Ovis aries: one gene and its partners. The protein of the gene in region 3 interacts with the protein of the main gene of each other region in a pairwise test. Links are inferred from orthologs where the notes say so. Each region holds a gene or a part of one and is shown on either strand. Other genes may lie near its edges.

Region 1 (2,541 bases), on a different chromosome or scaffold from region 3:
AGCATTGTGTGGGAGTTGTGTGCATGGAGAGTGGGAAGTCTGATCATTGAGTGCTCTCTTGATCTAATACTGTGTTGATCGCACTTTTTTTTTAATGAGTGTACAAATAACTCTCACTCGTTCACCACATTCAGCCTCACACCAAGCTTTTTCCCACCTCAGGGTCTTTGCATTGGCTATTCCCTCTGCCTGGAAGGCCCTTCCCTCTAAATATTCACATGGTTGAATCCTTTCTCTCTAGATTCAGCATAACTGTCACCTCCTCCAAGTGTCTTTCCCTGAACTCTACATCTTACCATCACTTCCTCTCAGCACAATATAGCTCTTACCATGATCTGTAACTCTTTTTGTTTTTATTTAATTCCTTGTTTCTTGTCTATCTCCTGCCCTAGAATGTTGACCTCACAAGACCAAGAATTTTTGTTGTTTGTTTCCCATTGCTTTATCCCCAGCCCCCAAAGTAGTGCCTGGTAATAAATATCTGTCGAAAGAAGGAAGGGCAGAAGGAAACAAAGAAATACAGACTAAATGACCAAGGGAACAAATGAATAAATAAATATACATATGTATGGCTAAACAAATGAAATAGGAATAAAAGGAACTTTGGGGGAAAAGGACCCCAAATTCTCACATTTGGTAGGTAAAGAAACTGAGATTTAAAGAAACAAAAAGACAGTTATTTTATTTTTTTTTAAAAATCCTTGAATGAGTTGAACTGAGACATTTTATATAAAAAGGTCCCTGGCTATTGCTAGGGTGAGTGTGTGTGGGAGGAGGCCAGTCAGAGATAACAGCATAGGAGGGGTGGGTAGGAAAGAAAAGGGGCTTGGGGGCCAGGAAGTTAAGTGGAGGGTGGCGAGGAGGGCTGCCAGGGGAGCCCAGCACAGAACAGCAGAGGTGGTGGTGATTCAGTCGTCCCATTCATCATCATCATCATCATCCCCGGCCTGGTCCTCCCCTTCGTCTGGAGGGAGAGAGAAAGAGTGGAACTCAGGATGGGTAGGAGGGTTCAAAAGCCCTGGAGAGAGGAGTTACTAGGGTCTAGGAGGTTGGGATACTAAACCCTGGGGGCTGAGATCTCCCACTTGGAAGTTAGATCTGAGGTTTGTGTGTTAGATAAAGGGACCTCCTAAGAGGAGGGAGAGTTAGGGAGGGGCAAGATAGGGACTATAGCTGGGGTCTAGGTTCTAGTTGGAGTCGAGGTTAATATTATAAAAAATATGTGGTTGGTTGGGATATTATTGTCACACAAAGGGTTACTGTTAACAGGCTTGTCACTCAATGGAGTGGATTTAAATATTAGCAAAGGTGGAGGAAGTTACAATGTTGTTTTTTCATAGTGCGTTAATGTTCACATTGTTGACACAGAATGGGGTTAGTGATGATATCATGGTCAAAAGAGGAGGTTTGTTATAATTCTGTCATATAATGGATTCCTATTGATCTGTGAACAGACTCCTGGGTTGATGTCAGTGTTATTGTCGAAGCCGAACTTTAATAATATTATTGTCACACAGTAGGTTGAGGCTAATACTCTCTCTTTCTCTGCTCTCCTCAGTCATGTCTGACTCTTTGCGACCCTTTGGACTGTAGCACACCAGGCTCCTCTGTCCATAAGACTTCCCAGGCAAGAATACTGGAGTGGGTTGCCATTTCCTCCTCCAGGGGCGCCTCCTGAATTAGGGATCGAACCCGCGTGCCCTGCATCTCCTGCATTGGCAGGCGGATTCTTTATCACTGAGCCACCTGGGAAGCCCTGAGGTTAATAGTATCCTCATATAATTCTCATATAATGACAATGCTGTTGATACATTAAGGGACTAACATTAACACTATTGTAAAAGATTGAATTAGTTATAATATTGTCACTAAATGAGTTAATCTTTTGACACATGACATTTGAGTTAATATTAGTGTCAAAGAAGGGGTTCTTTATAATACTATCATCACATAGTGGGCTAATGTTAATACTATTGAACATATGGGGTTAATGTTAATATCATTGTCAAAGAGAGTTAATCATATTACTGTTACATAATGACAGTTAACACTGTCAAAAAAGAGACTGCTACAGATTCATGTTCATTCTCACATCAACAGATGGGACTAATTGCTGGTGGCTGTTGGGGGTGTTTTTAGGTCAACACTAGCTGGGAACCAGGGCCACAGGTCCTGGCAGGATGGGCTCTGAATGGCAGGCTCACAGGGAGGGTGCACTCTCACCAGAGGAATGGATGGCTTTGCTTCTCTTCTGCATCACGTGCATCAGGGCACCCACCAGCCCCTCTGAGCTCTGAGGTGGTGGCTGCAGCGCTGAGCTCTCTGGGGCCCCCGGGGTCTGCAGCAAGCAGGATCCAGCACAGAGGGCTCAGGGCCTGTGAGAGGAGCACTTCTCCCCACCCCTTCATCATTCTTTCTCCTCCCACACACTCTAGTCGCCTTGAAACTCACCTCTCCCCACCAACCTCCCAACCCTATCAGTGAACCCCCAAATCGTGGGACCCCCATCACTCTCAGCCCCAGCCCCCTACCATCCTCACT
Region 2 (3,755 bases), on a different chromosome or scaffold from region 3:
TAAATCTGTACCACGAATTTACAACTAGGAGAAAACTGGTGGCAAGTTATTAGCTAATGATTACAGGTCAAAAGGAACTGTGCCAGAGCTTTTTATACAACATTTAATCCTCACAACTCACCACCCCACTTTACAGATGAGCTTAGTGAGATTCAAAAAGTTTCCCAAGAATAGATGACTAGTCAAGAGCTAGAATTTCAAAGCCAAGTCAACACCTTACAGTTCTAAAGTTTGTTATTTTATTCTATACATTTAATCTGGACTGTTTGAAGATGCAAGAAAATAAAAATAAAACCCAGTCAACTTTTACCATTGTCTGAGGTTCTTGAACCTACATGTACTTGCTTTCAGATTCAAACAACTGGTATTTGCTATATGCAAGACAATAAGATTTAAAAAGCTTTCCTTGCCCTCAAAGAGTTTGCCAGAAGAACACAATGAACAGTAATGTTTCAAACAATCTGACTGTGTTATAGAAGAGCAAAGCACAGAGCTGAAGCCGTAAGCAGTTTATTTAAATGTTATTCTTGAATGTCTGGGGCTTTGTTTACTGTTTAAAAGTAAAGATCTCTAATGTTGGGAGACAGAGAACAAACGCAGGGAAAAAGATATTTTCATATAGGGCCTGTCCATTATTTCAATCCTGCCAAAGAGTCCAACTACTCACTCAGTGTTGGAAGGTTTTGAATTTTTATTTGCTTATAAAATTTAGGTATCATAAGACACTCATTATACCGTTTTAACAGGAAGAGAGGGCAAAATAGGCGGTTTTCAGGAGAAATCAGAGCGACTAGATGATGGCTAGTTTTGCGCAAAAAAGGAGCGCTAGTCTACAGACAAGAGAACAAAGACTACTATTCCTCGTCTGTTTCACTACTGAGAAGAGCGGGGGAGGAGGCCACGCAAACTTCTGTCAATTTTTTTCCCCATCTGATTGGGAATGCCACGCAAACCATCCTTAACCTCCTTCTATCACCCCTTCACCGTCTCTAGGTTTATTTTTTTCCCCTTTCTTGAATGCACAACACACATTATAAAATAAAGGGATCCAAAACGTCTGGCTAGGCAGAAATGACCATCTTATCTGCCGAGGTCGGAAATATAATTCGGAAAACCTCAAGCTCGGATTCCCACAGGTTGCTCCTGCCTCCAAGCAACTCAAGCTCCAGTTACCGCTAAGTCCGACCGGCCCCTGCGGCCGCGGCGCTGGACAGGGCACCCCAGTCTCATCCCATCTCACCTCGCCCCCCGCCCCACTCACGGTCCCTCCCGGCTCAGGCTGTCTTCACCTCCTACACTCAGTTGAGGCGCCGACAGCCACCCGCGATCAAACAAGCTTCCCCTTTGGGGGAAGGGGGAGATGAAGGTTCCTTTCTGGAAGAATCTGAGCACTCGGAGCGCAGGGCAGCTGCAAGAGGGGAGGAGGAAGGGTCGGCCAAGGGGGCGGGGAACGCGGCATTTATCCATCAAGATCTTTGCGCTAAGAGATGGCTAAGTTCCCTCCGGGCCTCCACTGCCGTCTGGAAATTCTCCCTCGCACTCTGGGCCGGGATGGGAACGTGGAATCTTAAGCTTCCGAAGATGAAGATGAGAGGAGTCCACGATTGCCGAGGTCCTCAGGGAACGGGAAGCAAGAGGAACAAAGCCGCTACCACCCATGCCCCTGGCTGGCCCGGAGACCCAGAGGGACCCCAGAGGCCCGCTTACCTGCCGTCAGCAACTGCATGGCGTGAGTGAAGGACGGGTCAAGAGAGTCCTTCTCGGCCATGAGTTCGGGCAGATACTTGTTCTCCGGCTCCATCTTGACGGAGGCAGTGGCTGAGGGGGGCAGCAGCGGGGTCGGCGCTGGACCGCCCACTGTCGCGTCGGGACCGGTGGCCGAGGGCGGCAGCAGCGGTGGCGGCTGCGTGGCGGGCGAGGCCCGGGCGCCCCCGCGAGACCCTCCTCCGCCTCCCCGGGACCGGTGAGGCAGCGGTGGCTGCCGAGGGGGCGCCTGACGCACGGAGGGGTGGGCACCTGAGGGGTCCATGGAGCCGCTGCGGCCCGAGGACCGGCTCATGCGAGCGGCGGGGTCGTCCCGGCGCTGCATTGGGAAAGATGTGCGATTAAGGGATCGAGGAAGCGACGCGGTAGCGGCAGAGGCCTGAGCGCCGGCGGCCCGAGCGGCGGTTGGCGGGGGTGGGAGAGCGGGAGCGACAGCGACCGAAGCCGACCCGAGCGACCCAGCAAAAGAGAGCACCGGAAATGAGGCGGCGCGCGTGCGCAGCCAGCCACCGGCACCGCCCTTGGGTCTCTCCGCGGAGAACAAAGTCCCCGGTCGGGCCACGGCGCCTGCGCACCGCCGTGGAGTCTGAAGAAGTCGCCTCCTCTCTCCCCTTTTCCCTCCGAGCCCTCCAGGCCGGGTACTTGAGCGCGTGCGCGGGAGGCCGCGGGCTCCGTTCGTTTCTTTTCCACGTGACTCGGCGCTAGCGGGACACGTGTCTCCTCCCTCTTCTGGCCGAGCGCACAGAGGGGGCGGGGGCTGTGGAATGTCTTTGTCTGCGCGCGAGCCCGCGGAGTGTGGGGCGGGAGACCTGTTACTCGCGGGGCCACGCCTCCAACGGCTGAGCTGTGGAGGGGGGGTGCCTGTACTCAGTCGGTGGGTCGGGCGCGGGGTGGGGAGGGGAGTGGTTACTGAAGAATGAAAGGAGACCCTCCCGGGGGATGCGGGAGGGGAAGGAGAGGGAATTGGGGCTGACTGGGCAGAAGAAGGCGAGGGTGAGAGGCGCAAGGGAGATTAGAGTGAAGAAGGAACGACTAAGGGAGAGTCTGACGTAGGGTTGAGGGGTGGAGATGCGGCCAGACTTGGAGGGGGCCATTGAGGAAGGACTGGTCAGTGGAAAGACTGAAGGCTATTGGAGGAGTTAAACTAAGAGGGAGGGTTCAGATCAGGGACCTAATATCCAGCCAGGAAAAGGGCCCCAGACCGAAACAGGGAGTCCAAGAAGTCGTATCCTGTCGTTTCCAGTATAGTGGGTTCTTAGACTTAGCCGTTGTTGATCAGAGAAGTCGTCTGAAAGGTGAAGCATTTTAACTCTCTGCGTATAGTACTGCTTTCTGCAGATTGTGTTTCTTTCACAAAAAAAGTGGGGTAGAGGCCAGCTCTAATCTGTGATGGTTGCATCATTCGGGTGGCTTCTTCTGATGTGAGTGCTAATCCTCCTGCTGTAAATCATCTTTCTACACTTGCTCAAAGAGATAGACCCTTACCACAGCTCTCAAGGCCAAGGCATTATAGTGGACAGTCTCCCACAGCCTACTCCTTATCCTGGGGTGCTATATGCAGATGAAGGCTAGGTCCTTACTTTCCATAAACTCTAACACTTGGTACCTTCTCTAACCCTTCCCCCCACAGATTTTTTTTTTTTTTCTTCTCTCATTCAAAGCATTTGCTCTCATCCCTTTTCCTTCTGGATCTGTTCCCCTAATAAACCCACGCTTTCCAAAAGCATTTCTGGAAATTGTCTTCTGGGAGCCTAAAAACTGCTGATTTGTAGATTTGAAACTTAGAAGCCTTCAGCTTAGGGAACATTAGGGCTTGGCTGCCTTCTTGGGGGTAGGGAGATAAATCACCAGCAGGAATGAGAACAAAACACAAATCTCCATAAATTATCACATAGGTCACATAGATAGTTTATAATCAAGGAGGAGGAAAAAAGAAAGGAATGTTTTTGGATAATTGTAATGAAGAATGTAATGTGACAAATGCCCAAAGA
Region 3 (3,655 bases):
TCTGTAGCCACAGAGCAGCTTCATGGTCCCAGAGGAATGCCAGCTCCCATGCAGCTTTCCTTCACTCTAATTCAGTCTCAACTAGATAGAGACTGTCTGCCTGCTTCAAGGGCATTTAAACTCTTCAAGCATTCCTTATGATCTTTACTAAATACATTAAGAAGAAAGTCAATCAGCGCCCCTTTGTGACCTGGGATATGGAGTCACCTCATTAACATAGATAACATGAATTTCTGACTTTAAAATGTATAGATATAAATTCTCTGCCTAAGGTAGGGAAAGTTTCATATCTTATAGTCAATAATGGGAGCCCTTCATTCCTCAAAAATAAGCCATTTTTAGGTAATCAGTAAAGAAGTAACAACTGACTGCCGCGGCACATCAGCAGGATCTTCACGAGCCCAGAGACCCCAGTGGACTCCTACGGCGCAAGGCTCACTCTGGGACAGCCGCAACAGATAAAACCCACCCTGTTCTGCACGTATGGCTGGGTAGGGCAGGCCACTTCCCTCTTCTATGAGGCAAGAAGAGCTCCCCTAAAGTGTCATCACTCCCACACCAAAATACACAGAAAACAGAGAAACGGGTATTTCCAATTCTTGGCCTTTTAACAAACTTAAATATTGGTACTTATAGTGGCATATTAGAAAGTAATAGAGGAAACAGTGCCTATTGGGGGACAAATCGCATATTGAACCAATTAAGAGCTCATTGTGATTAGGATTAGGTCAAACGTAACAGCAAAACATAAGCAGTTCTGAATTCTATAAGGAATATACATGTTGCAGTAACATTAGAAAAGCATGGCAGCCCATTCCAAACCAGCAAGAACAGTTTGTGCAAATAGTGGGTCTTTGTGTGTTTGAACTCCCACCATGTAAGGGCAAACTCAGTATGCATGCTAATGACCTACAATTACCAAATTAAAAAAGGAGAAAAATGCTAAAAGGATGCCAGAGTGAACAGCAGGGAAAGCCACACAAAGACCCACTATCCTTTAACTTGTTACAAATAAATTTTAACTGTAAATTAGAAACCCAGAGAAATAACCACAAGTGGCTCTAACATTTGAGAACGAAGCTAAGGAATTGTGTAGGAGATATTTGATCAGGGCTGCCTGCCCTGTCTCCACGCTAGAGTCAAACTTGGATAGTGGGTCTCTGGGGTGCTTTCACACTGGAAGACAACACTGGGTCCTATAAAAAGAAAAATGAGGGATAAAATGAACATAAAGCAAATCAAGTGGGTGAGAAAAATTCTACTGATTACATGCAACATCAACAAATTTGAACTACTAAAATTCTCAAACTTTAGAAAATATCCTAACTACCTAGTGAAGTGAAAATGTATGAAGGCTTGAGAAACACACACGATAGTCTAAAACTTAGCTAGTTTTCACTGACTCATATACTCCTGGCTGTTCTTCCTTTAGAACAGTTTCATTGTTTTCTTATATTTCTTATTATAAAAGACTTAAAAGGGAAAAATATGTTCCACCATTGGAAAATAAGATAACAACAAAACATTTGGAACATGATCACTTTACATTGTAGACACTATAAAAGTCAAATGCACTGATAAACCAGAATGCCTCCAAGGATCACTTAGCCCAAGATCTTCCAGACCTAGTGGGTCTGAAAAGTACCTTCCTCTCTCAGGCCCAGGAAAGACACCTCGGGTATGTTTATTAACCAGACAAACTGGCAAGCCCTGAAAACTGCCAAACCATCAGCAGAATTTAAAAATGGTCTTTCATTTAAGTAATCCAAGTTTTATAATTTTCCTTACTACCTCTTCTGAAACCCTGAGGTATTTTTAGGAATATTCAAAGCATAAAAAACTGGACTCCACGTCCAGACTGGGAAATTCAGCTGCTCTATCTAAAGGACGGTCTTCTCCCCAAATCACAATGATCTTTATAAGCTCTAAAGTGAAAATAATGCACTAATAATTTAAAATGATACAGTACAAAGTAAATTCATAATACTTGCACTTAATTGTAAACACAGCTCAGCTTTGACTGGGTTACCATTTATATGTTCTTAGAAGCTAAGTTAAAATGAAAGGCTAAAGCTTTTAGATAATTTCACGAGAATGATAAAAACACAAATCATGATGTATTTTATTAAGAAGGACAAAAAGATCAAAAGGGTGAGGAAAGGTGACCTCTATTTTATGAAGCTAAAAAAATATTTCCAAGTACTGTTTATTCTCTAATGCTACATTTACTGTCAAGTGTAAGAAAGGTGAGGTAACTATCAAGAGATAATGTTATATAATACCAAATCGTATACATTGAGATATGGATCCCTGCAGTAAAAGTAGTAAAACAGATCTTAATTCATATATCTCTGTGGCATGAGTTACCTACCTTAAAAAAATCACCTAATGAGATTTTTGCAAGCACTTTATTTGTAAAATAAATTTTATAATTTTCTTCTAACCTGGTGATGTGTAATAACATGGGAAATAAGGTTGCAAAATTAATAGCACCTGTACACTACAAGGGTCATTCTGCACAGCTGAACACACTAACTGCCAGCTAGTCTCTACTCTCTCTTAAGCTGAAAAAGGCTGGTATAAAGAGAAGCCGCAGCAGAGACTGTTATCACACCAAGGAACTCATGAAAGAACTAGAACTTTTTTTCAGATAAAGTCTAACAGTAAGGTCTGAAGCTAGGAAAACAGAATTGGAAAAAAAGCAATATAACTTTTGATTTTGTAGAAGTTTCTTATTATATCTTCTTACTCTAAACATTAATAAACATTCGCTGAGAGTGCTCAGCTTAAGATTCTGGTTGAGAAAAGTACGGAATGCAGTGCTGTACGCTAAAGCCGATGCACTATGAAGAAGTAAATAGTCTGACATTACTCACACTGCTGACTTGGATCTGCATCCGTCGTCATCTTAACATAGTTCGAAGGGAAGAGACCAGTCACCCCACTGATTTCTCCTTGCCACCAGTCAGGATCATCCTTGTTTAAAACATTAATAAGCTGTCCCTTGGAGAAACTGAGCTCATCCTCGTTGTTTGCTGTGTAGTCATACATGGCAATCACCTGACATACTACCAGAGAAAGAACAACAAGAGCAACAAGTCAAATTGTGTAATTCTCCCTATTAGCATCATATGTTAAAATTCTGCTAACATTTCCCTCTAGCTGTTCTCTCCCACCCTCCTTCCTCTATTCCCTGTTTCACTAAAGCAAGAATTTCCCAAATGTAGTTTGGAAATCCAAGCAACTGCTTTGAAGTATGATGGTAGAGCAATTAAACAATTTCAAGGAGTGATGTAGTTCAAGCATCACTGAACAGCTGGCTGTTTCTAACAGAACTTTTTAGAAAGGAAGTTCTCACAGAGGTAAAGAAAGAACAAATTTTAAAATATTTTTCAAAGAATTGGCTAATTTAAGAAATGCTGAGTTAAAAAAAAAAAAAAAAAGCTTCCTAAGATGAAACACAAGTTAACACATTTCCATACCAGGATGAAAGGCAGGTGTAGTTCTTTCACTACTTGGACCCAAAAGTTTAACATGGCTGGCAGGAAACCATCCTTTCTGTCGCTTTTTCCCTCTGGCCTATAAAATTAGCAAAAAGAACACACAAAATGAGACTAAAGACAATTGTTGAGACATAAACTAAAAATAAGAAAAT

The links.
Region 1: the proteins of ITSN2 (region 3) and WAS interact in a two-hybrid assay, tested with the Homo sapiens proteins (2 studies listed by BioGRID). The link is inferred for Ovis aries from reciprocal best matches to the Homo sapiens genes ITSN2 and WAS.
Region 2: the proteins of ITSN2 (region 3) and KHDRBS1 interact in a two-hybrid assay, tested with the Homo sapiens proteins (2 studies listed by BioGRID and IntAct, with this or other methods). The link is inferred for Ovis aries from reciprocal best matches to the Homo sapiens genes ITSN2 and KHDRBS1.

What each region holds. Positions count from the first base shown.
Region 1 is NC_056080.1:56,403,762-56,406,302, forward strand, and holds the end of WAS (actin nucleation-promoting factor WAS), read right to left. Parts: intron 2,339-2,541; coding exon 2,224-2,338; intron 965-2,223; coding exon 909-964; 3' UTR 656-908; downstream 1-655. UniProt on the Homo sapiens protein: Effector protein for Rho-type GTPases that regulates actin filament reorganization via its interaction with the Arp2/3 complex. Important for efficient actin polymerization. Possible regulator of lymphocyte and platelet function.
Region 2 is NC_056055.1:235,470,012-235,473,766, forward strand, and holds the start of KHDRBS1 (KH domain-containing, RNA-binding, signal transduction-associated protein 1), read right to left. Parts: upstream 2,247-3,755; 5' UTR 2,090-2,246; coding exon 1,708-2,089; intron 1-1,707. UniProt on the Homo sapiens protein: Recruited and tyrosine phosphorylated by several receptor systems, for example the T-cell, leptin and insulin receptors. Once phosphorylated, functions as an adapter protein in signal transduction cascades by binding to SH2 and SH3 domain-containing proteins.
Region 3 is NC_056056.1:31,843,390-31,847,044, forward strand, and holds part of ITSN2 (intersectin-2), read right to left. Parts: intron 3,580-3,655; coding exon 3,483-3,579; intron 3,069-3,482; coding exon 2,877-3,068; intron 1,197-2,876; coding exon of another isoform or gene 1,195-1,196; exon of another isoform or gene 1-1,194.